Nothobranchius furzeri: one gene and its partners. The protein of the gene in region 5 interacts with the protein of the main gene of each other region in a pairwise test. Links are inferred from orthologs where the notes say so. Each region holds a gene or a part of one and is shown on either strand. Other genes may lie near its edges. The genes, in order: protein FAM124B, pnkp, protein FAM107B, mcm10, trim37, cwf19l2 and copb1.

Evidence for each region.
Region 1: the proteins of trim37 (region 5) and protein FAM124B interact in a two-hybrid assay, tested with the Homo sapiens proteins (2 studies listed by BioGRID and IntAct). The link is inferred for Nothobranchius furzeri from reciprocal best matches to the Homo sapiens genes TRIM37 and FAM124B.
Region 2: the proteins of trim37 (region 5) and pnkp interact in binary tests that used the Homo sapiens proteins (3 or more experiments, as listed by UniProt). The two-hybrid records come from large-scale screens. The link is inferred for Nothobranchius furzeri from reciprocal best matches to the Homo sapiens genes TRIM37 and PNKP.
Region 3: the proteins of trim37 (region 5) and protein FAM107B interact in binary tests that used the Homo sapiens proteins (3 or more experiments, as listed by UniProt). The two-hybrid records come from large-scale screens. The link is inferred for Nothobranchius furzeri from reciprocal best matches to the Homo sapiens genes TRIM37 and FAM107A.
Region 4: the proteins of trim37 (region 5) and mcm10 interact in a two-hybrid assay, tested with the Homo sapiens proteins (2 studies listed by BioGRID and IntAct). The link is inferred for Nothobranchius furzeri from reciprocal best matches to the Homo sapiens genes TRIM37 and MCM10.
Region 6: the proteins of trim37 (region 5) and cwf19l2 interact in binary tests that used the Homo sapiens proteins (3 or more experiments, as listed by UniProt). The two-hybrid records come from large-scale screens. The link is inferred for Nothobranchius furzeri from reciprocal best matches to the Homo sapiens genes TRIM37 and CWF19L2.
Region 7: the proteins of trim37 (region 5) and copb1 interact in binary tests that used the Homo sapiens proteins (3 or more experiments, as listed by UniProt). The two-hybrid records come from large-scale screens. The link is inferred for Nothobranchius furzeri from reciprocal best matches to the Homo sapiens genes TRIM37 and COPB1.

The regions. Positions count from the first base shown.
Region 1 is NC_091753.1:33,488,154-33,492,442, reverse strand, and holds the start of protein FAM124B, read left to right. Parts: upstream 1-1,489; 5' UTR 1,490-1,669; coding exon 1,670-1,740; intron 1,741-2,127; coding exon 2,128-2,159; intron 2,160-2,521; coding exon 2,522-2,719; intron 2,720-2,859; coding exon 2,860-3,252; intron 3,253-3,577; coding exon 3,578-3,774; intron 3,775-3,879; coding exon 3,880-4,033; intron 4,034-4,174; coding exon 4,175-4,289.
Region 2 is NC_091753.1:66,391,843-66,395,984, forward strand, and holds the start of pnkp (bifunctional polynucleotide phosphatase/kinase), read right to left. Parts: upstream 2,801-4,142; 5' UTR 809-2,800; exon of another isoform or gene 743-808; 5' UTR 737-742; coding exon 619-736; intron 415-618; exon of another isoform or gene 150-414; intron 145-149; exon of another isoform or gene 1-144. UniProt on the Homo sapiens protein: Plays a key role in the repair of DNA damage, functioning as part of both the non-homologous end-joining (NHEJ) and base excision repair (BER) pathways.
Region 3 is NC_091743.1:77,097,330-77,100,829, forward strand, and holds part of protein FAM107B, read right to left. Parts: intron 3,027-3,500; coding exon 2,828-3,026; intron 1,248-2,827; coding exon 1,088-1,247; intron 1-1,087. UniProt on the Homo sapiens protein: Stress-inducible actin-binding protein that plays a role in synaptic and cognitive functions by modulating actin filamentous (F-actin) dynamics. Mediates polymerization of globular actin to F-actin. Also binds to, stabilizes and bundles F-actin.
Region 4 is NC_091741.1:61,273,881-61,276,582, reverse strand, and holds part of mcm10 (protein MCM10 homolog), read right to left. Parts: intron 1,191-2,702; coding exon 1,023-1,190; intron 377-1,022; coding exon 260-376; intron 172-259; coding exon 1-171. UniProt on the Homo sapiens protein: Acts as a replication initiation factor that brings together the MCM2-7 helicase and the DNA polymerase alpha/primase complex in order to initiate DNA replication. Additionally, plays a role in preventing DNA damage during replication.
Region 5 is NC_091750.1:52,480,721-52,484,824, reverse strand, and holds the start of trim37 (E3 ubiquitin-protein ligase TRIM37), read left to right. Parts: upstream 1-1,304; 5' UTR 1,305-1,480; intron 1,481-2,511; 5' UTR 2,512-2,554; coding exon 2,555-2,575; intron 2,576-2,722; coding exon 2,723-2,824; intron 2,825-3,133; coding exon 3,134-3,174; intron 3,175-3,669; coding exon 3,670-3,786; intron 3,787-3,890; coding exon 3,891-3,978; intron 3,979-4,104. UniProt on the Homo sapiens protein: E3 ubiquitin-protein ligase required to prevent centriole reduplication. Probably acts by ubiquitinating positive regulators of centriole reduplication.
Region 6 is NC_091753.1:35,494,906-35,498,405, reverse strand, and holds part of cwf19l2 (CWF19-like protein 2), read left to right. Parts: intron 1-1,432; coding exon 1,433-1,538; intron 1,539-3,500.
Region 7 is NC_091749.1:61,877,254-61,880,753, reverse strand, and holds part of copb1 (coatomer subunit beta), read left to right. Parts: coding exon 1-12; intron 13-97; coding exon 98-243; intron 244-3,500. UniProt on the Homo sapiens protein: The coatomer is a cytosolic protein complex that binds to dilysine motifs and reversibly associates with Golgi non-clathrin-coated vesicles, which further mediate biosynthetic protein transport from the ER, via the Golgi up to the trans Golgi network.

The DNA of each region.
Region 1 (4,289 bases), on a different chromosome or scaffold from region 5:
CTTTATAAATCCAGTTCCTTCTTCCATTCTTCCTCCACAATAATAATATTCCCAAGAGGACAAACAGATTAATGTTTTTTAAGATACCATTAAACTAAAGAGGCAAACCTATTCTCTTCTAAAAGGCTAAAAAGAACGCAGGTGCAGTAACATCTTTATGACTCTGGAGGACACCATTTTCATACAGTTGTTCTACGTTTTGCCAGCAGAGAGCGCAAATTCCCAATATTTTCAAGGCAACAATACAATATTTGTAGTATTTAGAGGAAGTCTTTCTACTATGGGACTCTTTAAACTTTTTGAATTAAATTTCTTGCTGTACTTCTACTGCTCATTCTCCTTCCTCCTAACCCTAATATTTGTCTGTCTGGATCTGAAAGTCCCACAGGAGCCTGGCTTTCTTTCGCTCTACCACCAACTCTGCACAGATGTTCTTGCACATGATGCCAGCAACTTAGTTGTGGCGTTCCATTTATGTTCTACCCTGCCAGGGCCTATTCCTGTGCAGCCATGACACGTGACATGAGTGCCTTTCTTGTGTGTGTGTGTGTGTGTGTGTGTGTGTGTGTGTGTGTGTGTGTGTGTGTGTGTGTGTGTGTGTGTGTGTGTGTGTGTGTGTGTGTGTGTGTGTGTGTGTGTGTGTGTGTGTGTGTGTGTGTGTGTGTTTTCCATGTAAATGTAATACCGATGGGGCAAGCAAAACAGGAAACATAATAGACAACAGTGTTGTCTATTATGAATTGTTGTCACAACACATAGCAGAGATTAATATCAAGTACTCAAAGCGCTGCATTTGGTTTCCAGGATCTAGACACATTCCCTGCTCATTTAAATCTGCCCAGCCGTCTGCCCTGTCTCCTTTGTCTCCTGCCATCTGCTCGGTCATCACAGCCGGGTGTTCTGACTATCCATATCCATGCTACTCGTCGATATGAGCCGCTGTGGGTAAATGCGCATGTGCAGACCGATTACTACGTCACAGGCTGTTTACCTGAAGAGACGCTAACTCTGGAAGTTGTTACATTACTGCTATGTTTACCTGACAGTTAGCTTGTGAAGGGCATGTAAATCGTTATTATACTATTGTAAACAATACATTTCCCCCATTGTTGACCTTCATTCACAGAATTATGACAAACACAGTCATTTTAATAAATAAACCACAACAAACACTGTATATTTTTGCTAATAATTACACTACAGTTCTGTATTTTTGAGTAATATCACCTATTTAAAATAAACTGCTTAATAAGTGTGTTACTGAACTGTAAACAAGGGCAAAACTGTCATAACACGCTGCGGAAGGAATATTCAACCGAGGAAGCGCGGATCGTCAGAACACCGGCTTTGCTTTGCTTTGCTCCACTTCTGCTCCCTTTCGCCCTGTAATTTACGCTCTGTAAGCAAACGCCAGTCTTTTATTTTCCGACCCGAACAAGAAGCACTGAGTTTCTGTTAGACATTGTTATCAGGATGGTGTTTAGCTCCCTGGTGACGTCACTGTCCCAGTAAGATCCCAGTACTTCTTCTTCCCTTCCCCTCTGCCAGTCTGTGGAAACAAATCCAGCAGGATGCTTGACACTCCGGACTGTTACAAAACCTGCTCAAACTCTCTTCCCCGTGCACAGGACCAAATGTGAGTGTGTGTACCGGGACAGAACACCGGACGATGTGGCGGAGAGTGGCGGCTTTGCGGTCAGCCGACAATGAAAACGTGGACTCCGGGGCAGAAACAGCCGAGTGAGTCAACTGTTGCCTCCGAGTTAGCTACAGGCTAACGATAGCTTCTGCTCCTCATCAGCAACAACAATGGAAATGAATTTAGCTCAGATTAAACTCCCAGTGACGGATGTAATAATTGAAGCCAGCTCCGTAACTTGTTACTAAACGTTTTTAGACATTCAAACCTCATTGTTTTGTGTCTTTTCCACGTCTTATCGTGATTTTGTTATTGTAAAATAACATTTTTTTAGTTCGTGGTAGCTAACAACAGATAAAGTGTTGTCATGGTGACCAAAGCAGCGACGGGCAGGTTTCCAAAGCAACCGCCACAAGATGGAGACAGATTTTTGTCTTTTCCTCACGAGTTATTCCTAAAATGTTTTTTATTTCGTGTATTTTTTCCAGATCTGGCTGCAGCAGGATGTCATCGTCTGGTAGTGAGTTTTCTGAGCTCATAAAAAACTAAAGCGTGTCACAGATGGAAGATTTTAACCTGAGAGTAGGGATGGGTAGCAGATTTATGCTCCACTATACCGATACTAATATTATCTCAGTTGTTTCTAAATATACTTAACACATTGTGTCTCATTTAGGTCCAGAAATATTGTGAGTATTTAAACTAAAATATGTTTAAAACATGCTGAAAAGTTTTACAGCTAAGCCTAAACTGACTTCTTACTGGTGCTTAAATTCCTTGAAAATGTTTACTTTTATGAGACATGGGCATGGAGTGATCGTAGGCATATGTGTACTGTGTATCTTTATTTTATATGAATTATGTGTTTGTGTGTAACTTCAGTGGAGCTGGTGACCAGGCAGACAAGGCAGCAACTCCTGTTGATGAACCTGCACCTACTTGCCAACCCTGGAGAATCTCTGCTGCTGCAGCAGACCCTGGACCGCCTGCTGCGCTGGCTGTGCCCAAGCCTGCGCATCTTCCATGTGTCAGAAAGAGCCTCTCCTTTCAGAGCTCCCGTGCACCTCTGTCCTGTGGCAGGTCTGAATCTTCAACATGCTGTAGATGCCACCACTTCTTTTCTATAGGCCTTGCTGAGAATGTTTAGTTTAATTTAATGACTTGTAGTCTGCTGTTGTTCATCATTAGCTCACATCGAACCGTTCTTTAAAATTTCCCAGGATACCCTTCTTTAGCCATCACCTTCTTCCTCCACGAGGCTTACGGAGAGGAGCGAATCCTAAAAGTGCTGGACTTCTTTCAGCGGCCACCCTGGCAGTACCATCACACCGAGAGCTGTGGCAGCCGAGCTGCAGGGATCCACATTACGTCTAGCAGTTCGTCCAACCCCCGTCTGCGGCCCTATCTCCTACCCAGCAGGGACTTCTACAGCCTGGGTGCAGGCATGCCTGTGTGGGGGGTACGGCCTGTGCACTGTGGAGGAGAAATACTGCGTGTGACGCTGTACAGTAACTATGACAACTACGAGGATGCTGTAAGGCTGTATGAGACGGTGCTGCAGCGGCGGGCGGAGGAGCAGAAGACGGGATTCTGCTGGTTCACCGTCCACACAGGTAGAACCCTCGGGTGGACATGGACTTGTTCTTTTCATGGGCAGAAGAGGTTGTTGTTGTTCTGGATGTTTATGCTAGTAGTCACACACAAATAAAAGCTGTCAGGAAAAGGTTCTTGTTGTTTTTGCAATCTTTCATAAGGAAAAGCTCAACTTTTAGTTCCAAAGTGTTTTGGGAAAAAATTGGCAAACATTAAAAGAAGCAGACACTTAATTCAGAAAATTTAGTTCTTATTTGTCACGTTTTCATGATTTCTGAGTAATTGCAGTTTCATTAGTAATTGTTCCACTTTTGCCTGTTTATCTCTTTGCGGTTCTGCACACAGAGCCAGGGCTGTGCCTCCAGCTGGCTCTGAAGCAGCTATCTCCTGGAGTTTGTGTGGAATCGTGCAGCTCCGCTGCTCTGCAGTTCAGCGTGGAAGAAATTGGACAACTAGTGCCACTGCTGCCCAACCCCTGCAGCCCCATCAGCACCACACGCTGGCAGACGGAAGACCTGGACGGTAACAAGGTTCTCTTTCAGGTCAGACCAATTTAAATTGTGTTTTACTGTTTATTTAAGCAATTTTTTTTAGCAGTTTCGATGTGATTTTGTAGTTTGTCACATAATCATAATCCTGTGCTGCAGGTGAAAACCGCGCCTCAACCTCAGCGACCTCTGACCTGTGCGTTTCCCCTGACCTATCTGAGCGTGTCCCCTAGAGGGATGCAGCTCCGGAGCTCTGGACAGGCCTACAGCTCGTCATCCACAACCCCACCGTCCTGGCAACGATACAGACAAGGTACAGTTTCAGAACAATTTGAACTTCCAAATTCAATTTTATTCATGTAAACTTAGACCTTAGGAGACTTTTCTATAGATCCAGGAGAGTTTTATGTGCTCATCTCCTGACCCTGTCGTGATTCTGTTGGGTTGTTTCCAGGAAACCGGCCCCGCAGCGATCCGGTCCTAGAGAAGCTTTCTGGAGCAGAGAGCCTGGGATCAGGGAGCTGCTGCAGCACTCCTCCTGGAAGCTCCTGCTACTCATCTCAGCGCAG
Region 2 (4,142 bases), on a different chromosome or scaffold from region 5:
CAGCGGCGCTTGTCTGCTGTGCGGCTGCCGGCTTGTGGAGCTCTCGGGAAACCTCTGTGTTCCACCCGGTTGTACCCAGCGGTCAGCCCGGCGTATCTCTGACTCAGAAGCTCTGGTGTCGTGCACAGTTAACTCCGGTTGTAGCTAGGTTGCTACCTCCGTTAGCTTAGCTCCCACCTCCGCATTAGCTTTGCTTGTAGCTAGTTCGACCGGGTGTCGTCAGTTGATCCCAGCCTTACAGCCCCACCCTCAGCTCTTCCTCTCTTCCCTTTTATGGAATTGTCTGGGCTTGAGGGAACCTGTGACACGGTCAAAATGGCGGTGGTGGACACCTCCCATTTTTCTTCAACAAAGTCTTGTTGGATCGCAGCTGTAAGGCGACCAAACGTCACCTTCTGTAGTATTTTCATTCTGGTAAGTTACAGATGGTGTACGTTTTTATATATCGTTTATTTCCTTCAACCGCGACACACACACACACACCTAAAACCAACTGGTAAGCTTTTCTGTTGGTTAAAACCTCATGATGTTCCTCAGTAGGAAGTAAGAACAAGTACAAGCGCTCACACCGCTGAACCAGGGATCCATGAGAACAGCCGATATGCGGTCTTCACTCACCCTGGTGCCTGGAGCATCTCTTATCGGTGACTCCAGTGTCCGGACCCCGGCCCAGAATCACGGCTCTTCCGTCCTCCAGAGGAAACCGAGTTCCAGAGGCGCCAAGCAGCGAGCACATCTTTCACTGGTTTTATGCAACAGAGAAGGTAATTATTACACGCGTTTACGCTCGCGCGAAGCGTGTGTTTACCTCAAGAAGCATCTGGCTGCAGCCGCTGTGGAAAGCCACAGTAACCGGAAACACGTGACCTCCACAGTAGCCGGAAACACGTGACCTCCACAGTAACCAGAAACACGTAACTTTAGTTAAATCGACTTTGACAGCGAAAACTAAATAGCGATTTTGTTACTATTGTTGCTGCTGAGAAATAAAAGGCTCCTGTGTGAAATGTATGGTTGTAGTTGTGTGTCTTATTTTGAAAGAACTATTTACGCATTACCATAGCGATCAGAGAGCATTAAGAAGTGTGCCCGTCTGAAAAAAGTGTATAAACCATGTAGTGAGGTGTTTTACAGTCTTAACATCTACAATAATTGTAAAAAATAAAGTTGGCTACTTCATGGATTTCACCTACGGCGGGTTATTTTTAGAACGTAACTCCTGTGATAAACGAGGGACTGCTGTATTATTAAGTAGAGTCTAGAACATCTAATTGATTAACATCAACATTGATTATTATGCACTATTATTTTTGTTCAACGGTGATAAAGTCCTAATGTCTTCATGAAAGTTCCTTTTTTTCCCCATCTGAGCATCGGGGAAAAGGTCTTGCAATTGTTGAGGTCACTAGTGTGTGCCCCATTTCTTCCAGGATCACTCTCTTTATAGGTTTTAATGGACTCCTAGTACTGTGAAGTGGTTTCATGGTACACAGTGTTGGGAGTAATGCGGTACAAAAGTAATTAATTACTGTAATGCATTGCTTTTTGCTGTAATGTGGTAATGTAAGGCATTACAGGGAAAGAAAATGGTAATATTTACTCGGTACAATTGTCAGTAACGTGGTAATTACAATGCATTTTTAAACCCAGAATCAAGATGTGTTCCTTAAAAATTCAAATTGCGGGAAACCCGAAGAAAGATCCAGTATATATTACGTCATTTATGGACTCAGCTTTGCGGGCAGAGAGGACGCCGCGGTAACGGCTCAACTACTCCAGCTGCGTCCTGCACGTGGCCACTGCAACGTTCACAAAATCGCTCCACTAAAACAAAATAATTCACTTGCGATCGTTCATATCAGCGCATATTCTCTGATATTTTGTGCTTTTCTGACGTGCTTTGCCTCATCTGAGTTAATCTGGGCCCCGGTGATTTCAGCTCATTACTGCTGGAGCGCTGCGCATGTGAAGATCCCTTTGGCTGATAGTTAGAAAGTAGGAAGTCTAGGAAACAGTTTTTTCTGGAAGACGGAGAAAACATGCAGCATGCAGGGAAGTTAGAGAGAGAAAGGGCCAAAAATTATTCAAATAAAATCAAGAAAACAAAACAAAGTGCTTGAAAAGAAAAAAAATAGGTAGATTTATCCCCAATACACATTTTTACCAGTGAAAAGCAATAATATATAAGCATTTAATATTTATACATGTGACAGAATCAGATCACCCCACAAGTCAGTCCCACATCCAGGGCCATATCAAGGCATTTGGGGACCAAGGCAAATATAGGCGTGGAGCCCCCACCACCTCTCTCCCTGCTCAGTTATTCTAAGATGGCAGCGTGCTGAGAGTACAGATTGTTGTTGCTTTTATTTCATGAAAACAATCATTTAAAGCACTGTTATTATATCTGACTGTTTTTAACAGCAACCCTAGCTCAGACACCACATCACTTTCCATCGGATGTGTCATGAGCTCACTGAGCGTCACATTACCAGATTCATATTGAAGTTGTTTTGGTGAAAGTAACTTAAAGTAATGCAAAAGTAGTGTAATGCCTTACATTTTAAAATCAGTAATATTGTAATGTAATGAATTACTTTAAAATGAGGGTAACAAGTAATAAATAATGCATTACTGTTTTGAAGTAACTTGCCCAACACTGGTGCTGAAGAGAAAAGGTACAGAACCAAATTATAGCTGCATGTTCTCCTGTCCTGTCCTCCGGGCCACACACACACACACACACACACACACACACACACACACACAACAAGGGACTGTCTCAGCTGTTATTTTCGTCAAGGGGTGTGCACGTACAGCATGTGCGCCTCGTGCACGAGCCTACTATTGAAGCTGCCGTTACGCTTTTGGCCTGAGGGGGCAATCGCGAGCATAAAAATTCAAAACTCCGTAAAGACCCTTTAAATTAATTAACAAATGACAAAATAATAAACTAAAGGAAATCCTTCAGTCCCCTCTTCATGGAGCTATTGGTTTGGCCCCATCAGCTCCTCCTGTATTTAGCTGACGGAACCCCTTCAACACTGTTTGCCTGTCCCATCTCAGGAAGCAGGAAGTGGAGAACCTCTCAGCACCGGTAAGAGAAAACATAAATTTACTTAAATTGAACAAATGACAGGCATAAAATACAGCAGTTAACTAAATATGCACGCTTACAATCAGAACTAATGCGTTTAAGCCGTCTAAACAATAAATCCAAAGAAATAAACGTACAAACTGAAATCATAAAAGTGCATGAGTGTACTAACGTTCACTGTTGTGTGGACATGGATGTGGCCATCACACTGACCCACTGTGTGACTGATTATGTAAACTTCTGTGAAGAGAACACTGTCCCAATGATGAGAACAAGCTTTTATGGCTGGTGACAAAGAAGAGTAGACAAGTCCAGAAGGAGCTTAAATATAAGATCAGACAGGCAAAAAACAGCTTCAGGAAGAAGCTGGAGGAACAGCTCGGGCAGAACAATGGTGCATGCATGGAGAGGCCACAGGAACATCACCGGACACAGTGGGAGGAGTAGTGCCAGTGAGTCTGCTGAGTGGGACCAGAACTGGGCCAACGAGTTTGACCCGTTTTAACGGATTCGGACCAAACAAAAGCATCCCCAATAATAAAACAGTTACCAAAAGTCCCACCCTCAGTTAATACAGTCACTCCTTCACCAGTTACTATTAATATGGCTATATTAAATGTTCGCTCCCTGCTGAACAAAACGTTTTTAATAAATGACCTGATTTTAGATCGTAATCTTCACTGTCTGCTTTTAACAGAAACATGGCTGAGTTCAGATGCACCTGTTGTTCTCACAGAGGCCTCTCCGCCAGATTTTAATTTTTATTGTTCAACGAGGAGTAGCAAAAGGGAAGGCGGTACTGCTTTTATTAGTTCATCAATACTTTCTGCCAAACCTGTTTGATAATTTTACCACTTTTGAATATACAGCAGCAGTTTTTAGCCCTCCTCAGGTTGTATGTGTCACAGTTTATCGGCCTCCTAAGCAGAGTGCCATTTTTATTCAAGAATTTTCAGAGTTTTTATCAATCCTGCACAACTGCTTTGAAAGGATCATTTTAGCCGGTGATTTTAATCTACATATAGATAATCCTTCTGATCCTTTT
Region 3 (3,500 bases), on a different chromosome or scaffold from region 5:
CTGGTGTGTTGTTGGTATGTTGTTGGCATGTTGTTGGTATGTTGTTGGCATGTTGTTGGCGTGTCATTGGCGTGTTGCTGGCGTGTTGTTGGCGTGTTGCTGGTGTGTTGTTGGTATGTTGTTGGCGTGTTGCTGGTGTGTTGTTGGTATGTTGTTGGCGTGTTGCTGTTGTGTTGTTGGTATGTTGTTGGCGTGTTGCTGTGTGTTGCTGGCGTGTTGTTGGCGTGTTGCTTGTGTGTTGTTGGTGTGTTGCTGGCATGTTGTTGGTGTGTTGCTGGCATGTTGTTGGTGTGTTGCTGGTGTGTAGCTGACTTGTTGTTGGCGTGTTATTGGCATGTTGTTGGCGTGTTGTTGGTGTGTTGTTGGCGTGTAGATGACATGTTGCTGGCATGTTGCTGACATGTTGTTGGTGTGTTGCTGGCATGTTGCTGGTGTGTTGTTGGCATGTTGCTGGTGTGTTGTTGGCATGTTGTTGGCATGTTGCTGGTGTGTTGTTGGCATGTTGTTGGCGTGTTGTTGGTGTGTTGTTGGCGTGTAGATGACGTGTTGCTGGCATGTTGTTGTCATGTTTTTGGTGTGTTGTTGGCGTGTAGCTGACGTGTTGCTGGCATGTTGTTGACGTGTTGTTGGCATGTTGCTGGTGTGCTGTTGGCATGTTGTTGATGTGTTGTTGGCGTGTAGCTGACATGTTTCTGGCATCTTGTTGGCGTGTTGCTAATGTGTTGTTGGTGTGTTGCTGGTGTGTTGTTAGCATGTTGTTGGCGTGTTGTTGTGTGTTGTTGGCATGTTTTTGGTGTTGGTTTGTTGTTGTCATGTTGTTGGTGTGTTGTTTGCGTGTAGCTGACATGTCGCTGGCATGCTGCTGGTGTGTTTTCGGTGTGTTGTTGGCGTGTTTATGGTGAGTTGTTGGTGAGTTGTATGCATGTTGCTGGAGTGTTGTTGGCATGTTGTTGGCGTGTTGCTGGTGTGTTGTTGGCGTGTAGCTGACATGTTGCTGGCATGTTGTTGGTGTGTTGCTGGTGTGTTGTTGGTGTGTTGCTGGCATGTTGTTGGTGTATTGTTAGCGTGTTGTTGCCGTGTTTCCCACCTCCAGCAGCTTTGTGTGCCTCTTCAGCAGCTCAGCCTCCAGAGGGGAAATCTTCTTGCGAGCCTCTTCTTCCTGTTTCCTCTGTCGGATCAGCTGATCCCTCTTCCTGGACTCCAGAACTCTCTGCAGCTCTGGTTTTGTCTCCACACTGGTTCCTCCTCTGCACAAACACACACATCATGTGTCATGTATGTTGTATATTTATGTTTGAGCACATCTGTGTGTGAGTTTGAACTAGCAGTGGGCATCTTGTCACAGCATCACTAAAGTTCTAGCTCTAAGATAAAATCAGGTTGTTGAATCCTTTCTGTGGGTCTCTGTGATTAGAGATCAGTGAGCCAGGGGTTTGTGCTCGTTGGTCTGATGACTGATTCTTTTCTGGCTGCTCCGTGTGAATCTGCAGCGTGTTCAGAATAAAGTTGTGGAGGATGTTTTTCTTGCTGTGATCTTTGTTTCCTGCTGAACAAAACAGCGAGGAAGAGTGCAGTGGGCTTTGTGTGTCTGTGAATAAGCCTCTGTGAGGAGGCGAAAACTTTCCCATCATCCTCGGCGGTGGTGGAGGCCTCTGAGGCTGTCGCTTAGCAACATAGACATGTCTCCTCACAAATAAACAGCCTGGACTCCATGAAGAGGACAGAAAAATACTAACTGTCTTCATGTGATCCCTGACTGGTCAGCATTAGTCAGGGGGAGGATAATCTGCACCAATCAGCAGCTGTGGGGGCTCGCGTGTGCTTTGGTTCTGACCCTGGTTCTGGTCTGAGCCCAGTTAAGAACCCAGAAGGAGAAGAACAAACTTCTGATTTATGTTATCAGCAAAAGTTAAGTTTATCATCCCAACCAGTGTGAAGCAGCTGGGATGAGAATCAGCTCCTCTAAATCTGAGACCACGGTCTTGATTCGGAAAAGGGTAGAATGCCTTCTCCAGGTCAGGGATGAGGTCTGACCCCAAGTTGAAGAGTTTAAGTATCTCGGGGTCTTGGTCACGAGTGAGGGAAAGATGGAGCGTGAGATCGATAGGCGGATTGGTGCTGCGTCTGCAGTGATGCGGGTGTTGTACCGGTCTGTCGTGGTGAAGAGAGAGGTGAGCCAGAAGGCGAAGTTCTCGATTTACTGGTCGATCTACGTTCCTACCCTCACCTATGGTCATGAGCTTTGGGTAGTGACTGAAAGAACGAGATCGCAGATACAAGCGGCCGAAATTAGTTTTCACCACAGGGTGGCTGGGCTCTCCCTTAGAGATAGGGTGAGAAGCTCGGTCATTCGGGAGGGGCTCAGGGTAGACCCGCTGCTCCTCCACATCGAGAGGAGCCAGTTGAGGTGGCTCGGGCATCGAGTCAGGATGCCTTCTGAATACCTCCATGGTGAGGGTTTGCAGGCACGTTCAACTGGGAGGAGACCCAAGGGAAGACCCAAGACACCCTGGAAGGACTATGTCTCTCATCTGGTCAGGGAACACATTGGGGTTTCCCCGGAGGAGCTGGCCCAAGTGGCTGGGGGGAGGGAAGTCTGGGCCTCTCACCTTAGGCTGCTGTCCCTACGACCTGACTCTGGATAAGCAGCTGAAAATGGACGAGTTATCAGCAAAAGTTCAGCTAGAATATGGGACTACTGTCTTTGTTGTCAAAAACATCTCATAATGTCAGAAAACGGTTTCCAGAACAGAATGTCCTGAAAAGAATTTCAACCTTTCCACAGATGTGCTTATGTCTAAGAAAGGTGAGGACAACAACACGTTACCGTCTGCAGCTGCTCAGCAGCTCTCGGTGGAGCTCCTGGTGACTCCTGGAAGCTTTGACGGGATTCACCAGCTTCTTGGGTTTGATCAGGTCTTCGTCTTCGTCCAGGTAGTCAGGTGGGGGGACGTAGCTGGACACAGGGGACGGCCTTCTGTGTACGCCTTCAGAGTGGCACTGCTGCAGGTCAGCATATGCAGAGGCTGAAGACATAGAGGACACAAAAAATAAGGGCAGTGTTAAAAACAATGAGATGTGCTGTCCTGTAAAATGTCTCACAGAAGGTCCTCTGTGGTACAGCAGCCTATGGAGGACAAAAGACAGTTTTTAAGCTTAGTTCAAATTAAGACGCTGGTCTGTCCTTGCTTGCCCTGAGTTCCTCATTCTGTCTTTGTCCTTTTCAATGTCCTCCACTGTCTCAGAAGACAGGGAACTGATTATCAATCACCTGATCCTCACCCTAAGATATTCTGGGAGACACAGATCAGATGTCCTCATTGAGACCTTTCTCTGTCTGAAACCAGAGATCAATGTGAACGCCTGCTTCATATTTCAGAAAAATCAAATCAGCTGTTTGTCTCACAAGAGTCCACAGAGTCTAAGGCGGTGTCCAACGGTGGTGTCAGAGGAGAGCAGATCTGGTTCAGTTTAGTTCTGTAAAGGTTCTGGTCAGAGCA
Region 4 (2,702 bases), on a different chromosome or scaffold from region 5:
GGACACGCCGCCGTAGTAAAAACCATCCTGACACAGGCGCTCTTTGAGCCCCCCCCTCCCCTTCACCCTGTTGGGGGGTTTTCCAGAGTATGACGACTGCAGCTCTGCTCTCTTGGAGCTCATCTTCTTATACTGGGCTCTGACATGATACTGGCAGTACTGGCATTCGTACTGCAGAAACGTCCAAATGGAAAAAAAACATGTGATGAAAGAATAAAGAAAGAAGTGTAGCAGAGCCTGGAGGAGAGCAGGGACCCACCATGTTAACAATCTGAGAGCACGGCTCTCCATTCTTCTTCACAGCCTTACAGGTCCCAAAGTCCTGAGCTTCACCCATAACCAGCACCTTCTGGGAGTGGTCCACCGTCAAACTCACCTGTGAGGAAACACAAGCTGTTGTTTTAGGGAGGGAGAATCAACTTGCAGCATTCACAAGACTTTCGACCTTCATCCCTGCTTTGCCAAAGGTTGAATCTGGTTAAAGAGTTGTTTAAGAGCTCGAGTCGCTGTTTTAAGACTGATAGTGATAATTTTAGACTGATTGTCTAACAGCAAAGTAGAGATGACTGAATTGTTTGTTAAACTAAAGACATCAACAAGCCACTGCTGCACCATTATCCTACAGACAACAGCCCAGTGTCTAAACCTTAAAGGTTGTGTTTTACTCTTCATTTATCCAGCTTACAATAAGTAAAGATCCATCTTTTTACGGTTTCCTGCTCTGATAGAAAACCACAGGCCCACCCCAGTGCATGCTGCAGTGAATTTCCCTAAAGAAGTGGCTGTACAGCTCTTCCTGGCTGACTTATGAAGCCAAACAAAAACAAACAAAAATGTAATAATTACATAATAAACTACAAAATGCAAATAAAGGTGTTCTTGTTCTCCAGCCTGGATCCTCAAATCAGACTATGGTTCGGCTGGATGTCTGATTGCAACTTAAGTGATGAAAACAACTATTTATTAAATATTTACTAAACTACACCTCCTACAGCTCCTAAAAGGTGAGAGGACACACTCACCCCGTCGTATCCATCTCTTTGCTTCATGGAGTTGGGGTTTAGGAGTCCTATGACCGTGCCTAGCTCCATCTTCCAGTGCTCCTTGTGAACGTCACCAAACAGGAACAGAGACACAAAGACCTCCAGGTTGTGGAGGTCGCTGAGTTTCCATATGCTGAAGGTTTTGCCCTGCAAAGATGTTAGCGGAGTCAAACAGGAACAGAAGCCCTCAGTGCAGAACGCATGAAGCATCTCTGGAAAATTTTGACTCACATATTTCCTGTTAGTGAAAATGACTTTTTATTAAGAAGGGTGTGAACAGGGCTGTGGTTCTAAAGGTTATTACCAGTGTTTCCTCCATCCCCCCAAACAGGACCACATAGTCCCTACTGCTCAGGTCTAGTCCTGGTCCCATTAAACGGGTCTTGTCCTGGTCCTATAGAACGGGTCTAGTCCTGGTCCTATAGAACGGGTCTAGTCCTGGTCCTATAGAACGGGTCTTGTCCTGGTCCTATAGAACGGGTCTTGTCCTGGTCCTATAGAACGGGTCTAGTCCTGGTCCTATAGATCAGGTCTAGTCCTGGTCCTATAGAACTGGTCTTGTCCTGGTCCTATAGAACGGGTCTTGTCCTGGTCCTATAGAACGGGTCTTGTCCTGGTCCTATAGAACGGGTCTAGTCCTGGTCCTATAGATCAGGTCTAGTCATGGTCCTATAGATCAGGTCTAGTCATGGTCCTATAGAATGGGTCTTGTCCTGGTTCTATAGAACGGGTCTAGTCCTGGTCCTATAGAACGGGTCTTGTCCTGGTCCTATAGAACGGGTCTAGTCCTGGTCCTATAGAACGGGTCTAGTCCTGGTCCTATAGATCAGGTCTAGTCCTGGTCCTATAGAACGGGTCTTGTCCTGGTCCTATAGAACGGGTCTAGTCCTGGTCCTATAGAACGGGTCTAGTCCTGGTCCTATAGATCAGGTCTAGTCATGGTCCTATAGAACGGGTCTTGTCCTGGTCCTATAGAACGGGTCTTGTCCTGGTCCTATAGAACGGGTCTTGTCCTGGTCCTAGAGAACGGGTCTTGTCCTGGTCCTATAGAACGGGTCTTGTCCTGGTCCTATAGATCAGGTCTAGTCATGGTCCTATAGATCAGGTCTAGTCATGGTCCTATAGATCAGGTCTAGTCATGGTCCTATAGAACGGGTCTTGTCCTGGTCCTATAGAACGGGTCTTGTCCTGGTCCTATAGAACAGGTCTTGTCCTGGTCCTATAGAACGGGTCTTGTCCTGGTCCTATAGATCAGGTCTAGTCATGGTCCTATAGATCAGGTCTAGTCATGGTCCTATAGATCAGGTCTAGTCATGGTCCTATAGATCAGGTCTAGTCATGGTCCTATAGATTAGGTCTAGTCATGGTCCTATAGATTAGGTCTAGTCATGGTCCTATAGATCAGGTCTAGTCATGGTCCTATAGATTAGGTCTAGTCATGGTCCTATAGAACGGGTCTTGTCCTGGTCCTATAGAACGGGTCTTGTCCTGGTCCTATAGAACGGGTCTAGTCCTGGTCCTATAGAACGGGTCTAGTCATGGTCCTGGTTTGAATGTATATTTATGTTCTTAAACATCAGCCTAGTTAAACTTTGTGCTGAATAACTGATCAGGTTTCGAAATGTTTGGTATTAATGATCCAGATTAGCATTTAAATAA
Region 5 (4,104 bases):
GTTTGGCTGAACTACATTGGCTTTTAGAATGGGACTTTGTCACTTAAACTGATCAATTTAGTTATTTAATTGTGCATTTTCTGTTTATAACACATGTGCAAGTGCATTTTAGCTGAAGGAAAATATACTTTTTCAGAAACAAATATGTTATTTTGGTGAGTACTAATGTGTCTTGTTAACATCACAGGTGCTGACTTTTCAAGGACTTTTACCTTAAATAAAAAAAGTTTCCTGTTTATTCCAGTTCGTGTTTTATGTAGTTAGTGTCTTTTATATTTCAAAAGCATTTTTTTTCTTTCAGAATTTAAAGTTAAATATCAGTGTTCTGTCATTTTCATTAACTGAAATGCAAAGTGCATGGTTAAAACGGTTATGAGTAAATGCAAATGAAAATAAAGAAAGACCTCGAATAATTTAGACACAAGTCTGATAATCATATCAGACCTTGGCTTTAATGAGTAACTGACCCCTGCAGACATGTGCAGAAGTGTTTATGGAATAAATATGGTGAAAGGCTTTAAATTCAAATGAGAATGCAAGCTAAGGTAAACTTTTTTCTTTCTGGTAGTCAAATAAGACGAGTGATTCTTTGACTGATAAAATCAGCTAAAGATTAGATTTATAAGACAGAAAAATGTGTCTTTGATGTGTGTTTTATGTGTAAACTTATTCAGAAGGCTGCCAGATACAAGATCACATAGATTTACTAAGATTAGTTTGTTTCATTTAATTTTTATGAGAAATTTTGTAGTTTTGTCATCTGATCAGCATGCCATCTGCTTTGTCCCAGACTGCCTCTGTGATTCTGTCAGTAGGCAGCAGTAAAATGTCCCACGGTTGCTGAATTCTGGCTGATTTCATGTTTCATAAATCATATAGACTTGTATGGTTAGTTTTTTTCTCAGTGATATTATGATTTAGTAATATTTTGGTGTATGTTTTAAGTTAAAAATAGCTACCTCTCATCAATAAAACACAATTTCCATGATATTTCAGAATTTCATTGACCATTTTAAGCAATATAATAAAAATTTTACTTAAAAAATGTATTGATCTTATGTAGAAAGTATAAAAATGCATAGATATTATTTTTTAATTAGAACAGAAGATCTGTTAGGAGATAAAAGAATAATCCTGAATCGTTGAAGGCAATGGGACTGTAGTAAAGGATCCACACCAAAAGGGGGCAATGATAACACTGGGTGACTCATCGAAACCAAAGAAGAAGAAGAAAAAAGAAACGGAGAAATGTGATTGGTTGTTGCTGGGGGACAAACTGCCTCAGATTAACCGCTACATCTTCAGTTTGGAACATAAAGTGGCCTATTTAATCGAAGCTGACCCAAAACAAGATTCTTAACGCTGTTTATTTTAGTTATATGTTTTTTTTATAAACTGGGGGAGGTGTCATGTAACACGATGTAGCCTCCTCAGACCGTTTGTTGATCAGGTGTAACAGACGAAGCCGAGTCCTCGAAAGGTGAGAAAACCGCTGCTAAAAGGCAGCCAGCTAGCTAGCTCTGGGTACCAATGTAGCTTTTTTTTTTTTTTTTTTGCTCATCATTTGATCAAATTTTGCCTTGTGTTTAATTGTATGAGTAGTTGTTATTTAGAGCAGTGACGGGCTTGTTTTCTGGTAAGTTATTCGTTCTTGTGTTTGCAGCTGACTCTGGGCCTCTTGATGGCTACCTACAATCTGCTATCACCAAGAAATGATAACAGCTTCTGGGAAGCAGAACCTGTAGTTTTTAAACATTTGTGCATTGCAAAAACTCTGTTAATTTGGTGTTTTAACTTTCATAAACATTACTATGTCCCTGCTATCTATTTACTGCACTTTGCGTAGATTATATTCTATTATTGCAGCTAACTTGGTCTATAGATATTTTATGTATGTTTTAGTCTGACGTGTTGACGTGGATGTCCTAATATGACACAGGGATGGACTTGTTATACTTCCTACTCAGTGTGCCATTCAGTTAATATCACGAAACACTTTGGGGTCACAGATTTAAGGGGGGAATTTGGTGGAGCTGGAAGCTTCAGGGACAGATTTCAGGGCCTCATCCTGTAGCTGTCAAAGACCACCACTTTTGTTTTAGTAATTATTTCTTCAGTTTGAAGTCGATTATTTTCACATCATTTTTGTATCCAGAGTGTACACACTACAGTATTTTAAGAAGTGTTTTGATGATGAGCAATTTCTGAGTTTTGAGCTGGTTGCATCAGTTGTTTCTTGGTTGATCTTCTTGTCCAGTTGAACAACAAATGGACAATATTTCTAAAATCTGTGACCGATAATAAATTCTCTTTAAATGTAACAAACATATCCATCAGTTGTGTGAATTAAAACCAGATTGGTTTAAACCTTTTACATTTTTTGCTACTGAGTGATTTAACCTGTTATCAAAATCAGAATAAACACTAATGACTACCAATTATTATGGAACAAAAACTGAGTTTAACCAAGCTCATAATTTTGAGAATTAAATTCATATACTTTTCTTTCAGACTACTTGTTTTATTCATCACCAAGAACCTCAAACTGGCTGAAATGGATGAACAAAGTGTTGAGGTGTGTATAACACATTCGGCATGAAAGCTGTATGATTAAATCTATTTCCAACAACTATTGAGCACAGTCACACACACTGTTTAGTCAAGTTGTTTTATTTTCTGCTGCTGTATTTGGTATTAAAAGTCTCCTTCTGCCTGTTTGCAGAGCATCGCTGAGGTGTTTCGCTGCTTCATCTGCATGGAAAAACTGAGGGATGCTCGGCTGTGCCCACATTGCTCCAAACTTTGTTGTTTCAGCTGCATACGAGTGAGTGGAACAACACAGAAAAGGCAATAATGAATGACAGATTATGTATTCTGCTATTAGCTGCAAATATATTCTTTAATTATGTGTGTAAATGTGCATCTCTGTTTGTTGTTGAGTAGATAAGGTTTCAGCTTGTTTTGAGGGGTTTAAATTAAAGTTGGAAGTAGTTTGTTGGGGGAAAATAGGAGGAATGACATTAGTATGTAGTTCTATTTAGAAAATTATTTCAGATAATCCCTTTTAGTAGCAAACTAGCTGCTCTAGTTGTCTTTACACCCTTTGTTTGAGCTGTAACTTCTTGTTTGACAGCGGTGGCTGACGGAGCAGAGAGCCCAGTGTCCACACTGTCGGTGAGAGCCAAAGATTTTTCTGCCTTCTTTACATCTTGTTGGTGAAAGTTATCAGTCATCCAGGTCATGGTAATCCAAAGGGGTTCAGATGAAGGCAACTGGACTGCTTTCTGATGAAGCCCAGTTGCCTTTATCTGAACCCCTTTGGTTTTACATCTTGTTTTTTTTTTCACTAACTAAAGAAGTTTCAGAGAGACTTACTTTTGACCTTTCAGTAATACATTGAATTAGAAAAAAAACAACAACAACAATAAATTCACAGTGGGAGACCATTAAGAAATCCATTCACAAAACTGTTTCCATAGTGTTGGGACTCAGAAGTATATAATAACTATGGAACAGCTTCCTGTAGCTTCAGAAACACATTTAAATATTTGTTATTCAGCTTTTAGGACATCTTACAGCATCTGGACTATTTCCATGTTCATCCCATACTGCCAGCTGATTTGTAAGGTGTGCAGCTCATGATGAAATATGGGTGTGTTGTGCACACAGAGCCCCGCTGCAGCTCAGGGAGCTGGTGAACTGTCGCTGGGCAGAGGAGGTCACCCAGCAGCTGGATACCTTGCAGCTCTGCAGTCTCACCAAACATGAGGACAACGATAAGGACAAGTGAGCAGCTCCCCCAAACGAAAAGAATAACCAACTTGGTTTCTTTTCTGCTCCCCACTCCTGTGTTTACTGTGTCATATGGTTATGGTTCTATTGCTCTGTAGATGCGAAAACCACCATGAGAAGCTGAGTGTTTTCTGTTGGACCTGTAAGAAATGCATCTGCCACCAGTGTGCTCTCTGGGGAGGAATGGTAATGTTTCACACATTTGGTTTTTAAAATACAGTACAGTACAGAAATGATCCAAGCTAAGGCTCCAGTGATTCCTAACTGGTTTTTGTAAGTTACAAATTGTAACAGTAGCTAAAACAGCATTAG
Region 6 (3,500 bases), on a different chromosome or scaffold from region 5:
TGTAGTTTGTAGCACTCATTATAATGTTGTAGAAAATTTCTGGCCAATCCACGTGATCGGTATCGGTGATCAGCATTCTTTGATATCGGTATCGTGATTGGCAGCAAAAAACCTGATCGGTGCATCCCTAGTCACGAGACAGCAAAACAATGTGATCATTTGTCAGTTGTAAGATGGCTTCAGGTTCACCCAAAGTCCAAACTCCCCGACGGGCGGCTTTCACTTCCTGAGATGTCTCTTCAGTTGGTCTTCTTCTGTCCCTCATCCTGTGCTGCTTGCTTTCAGTTGGACCACTCCTCTTTATCACCTGCCTGATTCCACTCACATCAGTAGGCTCTCGCTTATCTTTGCTTTCCTTGTGACCTCTTTTATTACCTCCATTGTTTCTGGCGTGCGAGAGCTTGCAACACTACAGTAAGTAGCCTGTGCTTTCATGAACTGTGCTGGCTGAGCTGTTGGAGGCCAGATGTCAGAGGATCTCTGCTCTGCAAAGCCTTCATTGTTTTGCCCCATTAGGCTAAGTTGTTTGGGTGAAGTGGCAGTCGGAGCCCCTGCAGCATGAAATGAGTCTACAGTGTGGGAGCAGATGGAAATGATGCTATGAGAAGTGTAATAGCCTAGAACGATGCTCTTCAGGCTGCAGCGTTGTTCCTCCCAGACAAGGTGGTAACCGTCGCCGGAGGGCCTCTTAGCAGATCAACAGTCAGCAAACGGCTACATGATGAAACTCACACCTTTAGGAAAGGGTTTCTTTTCGGGGAGGGGGGTTACAGAGAGGAGAAATACACAGACATATATAAATCCACTGTTTTAATTTTCACATTCTGAAAATAGTAAATGGTCTGTATTTGACATAGAGCCTTCTAGTGTTTTCTAGAAAAAAAACACCAAAAGAAAAGTTTTTTGTTTACAATAACAGTTTTGTCCTATTTGTCTATTAACTCATTCACTGCCAGTGACGACTAACGTCGTCATTTTAGATCCAACCGTTTACTGCCAATGACGACTAAAGTCGTCATTGGCATTTTTTAACTGTTTGGGCATCGGAACAAGCCCCCGCGCTGAGAGAACAAACATCTTAGCTCTGAAGCCGATCTTCATCCGCATACGTCACACATCACATGTCACACGACACATGATCAGGAAGCAGAACATCCATGTGTTAGGAGATCGTTTTGGGCCGTTCCTGTAAAAAAAAGTGAGACGCGAACCAGAAAAGCGTATGCCGATCACAGTTCAGCAATGGATTATGAAAGAACGGATAACGCTCGAAACACAATGATTCTTCCTGATGTAAGAGGCAAATATCCACTTTGTATTGGTTGTTTTGGTGTCGACATCATCTTAGAGCGCAACGTTCTGTGACTCTTAAAAAAAACAGTAAAAATGGTGAGAAATGCTGGCAGCGAATGAGTTAAATGTTTTTACCCAGGACTGAGAGTGAAAGTGAGGAGGAGGAGGATTTGCTGTTGCTGTCTGAGGAAGAGATGAACAAACTAGGGTCCAAGCTGATAAAGGCAGAGATGATGGGCAACACGGTAAGTTTATGATGTTTTACTGGCCCAGATTTTAGGTTTGACAAACTCTGTTCTGGTCTTTGGTTGGGTTCAAAAAGGTGCTTCCTTCTGTTTTAGCATTTTTCAGACGGATCTGCAGCTGGCATGTCCAAAGTGTAGCTCTCAGATGTTCCAGGAAATTAAAACCATTTTTAAGACATGAAAGTTTACGTCTAATTGAAAATGTTTTATTTATCACCTTTTCTTAGCCCAGTAAACTTGGAATGCTTCATTGGAACCTCCACAGACCCTAGCAGCATTCCAGCTGGCCAATCACAGCTCTCTACGGGGGTTTCAAATTGGGAGAGCACTGTGATTGGTCCACAACACTGTATCGGCTTTGTGGGCCAATTAAAGCTTTCTATTGGCATTGTGGGCCAATCAGGGCCCTCTATTTGTCTGGTGGGTGTGAATGTGCGACGGATTGAAACAAGATGGCGACAGCTTGTTTGAAACGGCTTTTACATCAGTTTGGACTATTAGGTCTTGGGCTTTATTAGAATCAGGACCAGAGAGATATATTTCAGTCCTTTTTCAAGAAAAAGGGTGTATTTTCACCTTCTTCAACAGCAGACCGCCACGTTTAGACATCCGTTGCGGTGAGTACGTCACGTTGTTCATTGTCCAGTAGCATGCAGAGGTCGTTTGAAAGACAACAGTAGAACACGCCCCACGACCGAGATCCGTCAATGGAGCGTTGCTAAGCTAAGCTTTTCTCCCTTTATTTTAACTTTCCAGCAAATGGGACAACAAACCCTCACTGTGAGACTTATTCATATGTTTTGACTAAATACAACAAACATTACTGAAGAGTGACCCAGGTCATTTTCTTGTAGCTGATGAGAGATTAAAATTGATATTTAGGACAAAAAAACAAACAAACCAGAAAACCATCAATCTGTTAAATCTTATTAAGATAAAGGTATGGCACTCTTTTCATGCCTCCCATCACAAAATAACTGTTTGTTTTATGAAATTATTGCATATTTAATGTATCGTTGAGCAGATAAGTATCTTCAACTTGTTGATTTTGGTCTATGATTTTTAAAGTTGTGACTCTAGCTCACACTGATGACTAAAATGTGCTTTTATAGTGTTAGCAGCTCGGATGAACGCATCAGAGGAGTGGTGAGAGACAAACAAACAAAAATACTAATGTCTTAATAAAACTCCTGCATTTTCCATGAGTGGTTCCTTATTCTAAGTTTAAAATCTTAGTTTGAGGATATATTTTATATCTTTTTTAAGCAGATGTTAAAAGGGATAGTAGCCAGTTTTGCTTTCTTTTACCACCCCTTAGTGCTCATTATTAAATTACTGTGGTTAAACCGAAAAGGAAACTTATCTCCTTGCTGTGCATTCGTCTTTGTAGCACCATGATCTAACAGCTGAAACGTCTCCTCAGCCTTCATTAGTGTCTACAGGAGTGATTCATCACTAAATTAAACAAATCAGCTGGGTTCATGACCTAAAACGTAGGAAACTTGCTGGAAGCAGACTGCAGCGTTAGGCGTGTCTAGGGATGGGTACCTTTGACATTTGAATCGATCCGGTACTAATTACCGGTACCTACGAATCGATACCGGTACTTAACGGTACCAATTTTCGATACTTTTGAGTGTTTATTATTTTAATTCTCTTTTATAATTAAATATATATTTTTCTCAATATATAACAATATTTGATAAATATCACGATAAATAACATATAACTGTTTGTATTTTAACATTGCCCTTGTAGTTTTATAAGCTGATAATTAAACTGAAGCAAACATCTTTACTGTGAACTAAATTTACTGTGTCTTCATTCCTTTTGCCATCTTTTTTCATTTGATTTTTCCTACTGGGAAGTTAGAATTTCCGAGGAGGAAGCGAACGCACCATTAGCTGATAACAATGGTGGCAATGGAAGCTAACATATCAAGCTAACGATATCTTAAACAGT
Region 7 (3,500 bases), on a different chromosome or scaffold from region 5:
TTGGCAACATCGGTAATATAGTTATTAATTTGTCTTATCAGCATAATTCAAATCATTTTATTTATATTTTTGTAATCAAATTGATTTCTTCCTCTAGTCTATGACGTGTCTGGAGCTGCTAGCGACAGGAACTGTGTTGTCCTCAGCGACATCCACATTGACATCATGGACTACATCCAGCCAGCCTCCTGCACAGACGCCGAATTCAGACAGATGTGGGCAGAGTTTGAGTGGGAAAACAAGGTCACTTTAGCTTTTCAATTTTGCTACAAATCATCCATCTTGCTTCAAAACAGCGCCCTTTCATGAATTTTTTTTTTTTTTTTTTTTTTTTTAAGAAATCCGTAAAGGTGATCGTCTTTCGTCGTTCTGTGATCTAAAGTAGTTCTTCTTTTTCTGGCTAAGCCCACCCTCCGTCCCACAGAGGCTCATGCAAATTCAATCAAGTGGCGCTCAGCGTTAGCTGTTAGCGTTGGACATCTGCTTATGCACTGATGTCACTGCGTGTGCACACGTTTCCTCGAGTATCTAGACTGATGCAGAGTCTGTAAGTCTTAAGTGTGTGTGCCACTGGCTACTTTATAGGGTACTGCAACAAGTATATCAGTAATTGTGTGACTACGTGATCCATCAGGACCAGATGTAAATCAGATCAGAAGTTAGGATCAGCTCACATGAGTAAGTGACAGAGGCAGGATGAGATGAGGATGTTGGTACCAGTATGGAGTATAATATAACAAATAATAACAATTCATACAACAAATATCAAGGAATGACCATTTGCAGATATCAAACTACATTCATATCAATTATCAATAGAATTCCATTAATCTTGTAGCACATGGTTGACGGCAACTTAAAACTCCAGCAGACTCAAGGACCAATGAAATTGATCCTAAAGAGTGAGTCCAGTGTCCTTGAGGGGGAGGGGGGGGGGGATTGTGAAGGAAGTGATTGGGGTAATCGCGGCCCGCTGTTTAATGACGGTGGCTACAGGAGCCTCCTACCAGCCCAACAGTGATGGAAAGGGTCCGATTCAAACCTCCTGGCTTGATTCAGGGCTTCTAGGCTTGCGGCCTAAAGTCTAGTGGGTAGCTCGCCATTCAAAGAGAAAAGACCTGGTCTGAAAGAACAGGACCAGGTGGTAAAGAGGTCATAGTGCACTAACATATCATCATCATCATCCAAATGAGCTCAGAATTGTTCCATATATTGTACAATACGTCATCCAAAAATAAAACATAAAAATTGTGCAACTCTCAGTTATTATCACATTGGATTGATTAAATGTACCCAAATAAGTCATTCAGATAACAATGAGTTCATCATTAACATCCAAAGCACAATCAAAGAGCATTTAAAGTGTATTAATATTTTAAAGTGAGAGTCGAGGTGTGGGTGGAGATGTATTTCATCCACTATTTCATCCACACTTCCTGTTAGGAAAACACTTCTGAAAGAGGCGTCGCCTGGCAGACCAAGAAAGCGGCACTGAGGCAGTGGTAGACCCCCCACCCCCACGTGTGCTGTCATAGTTTACAAGTCTAAGAACGATTTGTTAACGAGCGTGTGGACGCAAGCACATACTCACACAAGACTTACTGCTCAGGAGAAAAGCAGACACAGATTCTGCAGCATTCTGGAGGATTTCCTGTTAAACGCGATCATTAGATGAAAAGGGGAGGAGGGCATTTTTTTCAAGGAGGCGAGCGGCTCTGAGGGCTAATGTGTCATATCGGCAGGTGGGTGGCTGAGCCAGGTGGAGGTGCGGCTGCCTCACCTGGAGACCAGTGCAGTGCAGCCACGTAGTCATTTGCCGACAACATCACGTTTTTCGGCATAGTCATCAACCACAGCTGATTCTACATAAATGTGGAGCAGAGTTTTAACCTGAAGATGGAGATAGAATTATGGTTTGGGGCTGAAATGTTCAATTTAAAGTAAGTTGCACTAAACTGCCACACTAATGATTACACTGTACAGCGCCATTAGACACTTGTCTATACAGGTTATCAGCAAAAAAGTTAATTTAGGCATTACCGTACTTGCACTTTAAATAGCACCGTACATAATAACTCACTACAGAATAAACACATATTTTTTGCCATGATACTCAGTTTAACAACTAGAAAATCAACCACACTCAACACACAATTAAAAAAGTATTTGCCTTTAGTTACTTAAGAGGTTTTAGGGAAATCACAATAACACAGGCTAATCAGCCAAAATGCATCAGTACTGAAAGTTTAAGCTAATCAATTCAAATTCAAAAATACTTTATTAATCCCTGAGGGAAATTCAACTGTTTCAGTACACAATTCCAAGATCAGACATACATACATAGACACATGACAAGAATTGGTGACTGTGCTCATTTGCAACACGAGTCGCGCTACCGTTATAGATCAAGAGGGTTTATATCATCATCATCATCACCTTTATTTATAAAAGCACTTTACAGACATATATTATGTCACCAAGGTGCTGAACAAGACTAAACTGAAAAAGATAAAAACAAAGAATATATAGGAAACCAAATAAAAAAATAAAAAACAGCAAAATACAAAACATCAGTTAACACACAGATTTTAAAGCCAGATTATAATAATGGGTCTTCAGCGCCTTCTTAAAAACCTCTACTGATGTGGAGAGTCGCCCAGATAATGGAAGATCATTCCATAATTTCGGGCCTGCTACCGAAAATGCCCTGTCTCCACTTGTTTTGAGCCTAGTTGCAGGGACTAGAAGCATATGGTGACTCTCTGAGCGGAGCGAACGACTAGGTATATATGGCTGTAACAAGTCAGATAAATATTCTGGTGCCATCCCATTCAATGCCTTAAAAACCAATAAAAGAATTTTAAAACACACTCTAAAAGCGACCGGTAACCAGTGCAGATCTGCCAGGGTGGGTGTCACATTATGAGGATAGTCAGGGGGAGGGGAAAAAAGGCACTTCAGAGTTACCCCCGACAGAGAGGATAGCTTTGCTATGCAAAAAAAAAAACCACCTCAGACAGATATGCACACAGACTTTGGACGATACACAATGTTATAAGCCATCTTCCCAAGCTAGCCTAACTCTTCAACAGATGTTACGTCTCAGGGTTGACTTGCATTTCTATTTGCGTGGGCGTGACACCAGCCACTCTTTAAAATGCCCTCACTCTTGTAGGAGCTGATTAGCAATCACTGCTAACCTAGATTCTGATTCTGGCAAAACCAACTTTATGCAGCTCAAGGGAGACTCAGTTTACTCACAATCCATGTCCATGAAGCTTATGTACACTTCAGGTTAAGACTCTTGCCAGCTGTTCCTTTTATGCTGCGGAGACAACTGACTTTACCTGTAGCCTAGGATGGAGGAAACACATATCAGTTACACCTTGGGATGGCATTTACAACCAGCATCTCACCTTTGCTCGGTTACCGACAGGAAGAGACCCCACTCATAAATCCTTTTTTCATTCCTTGAATTCGAGGAACTAGGTTTTATTTCA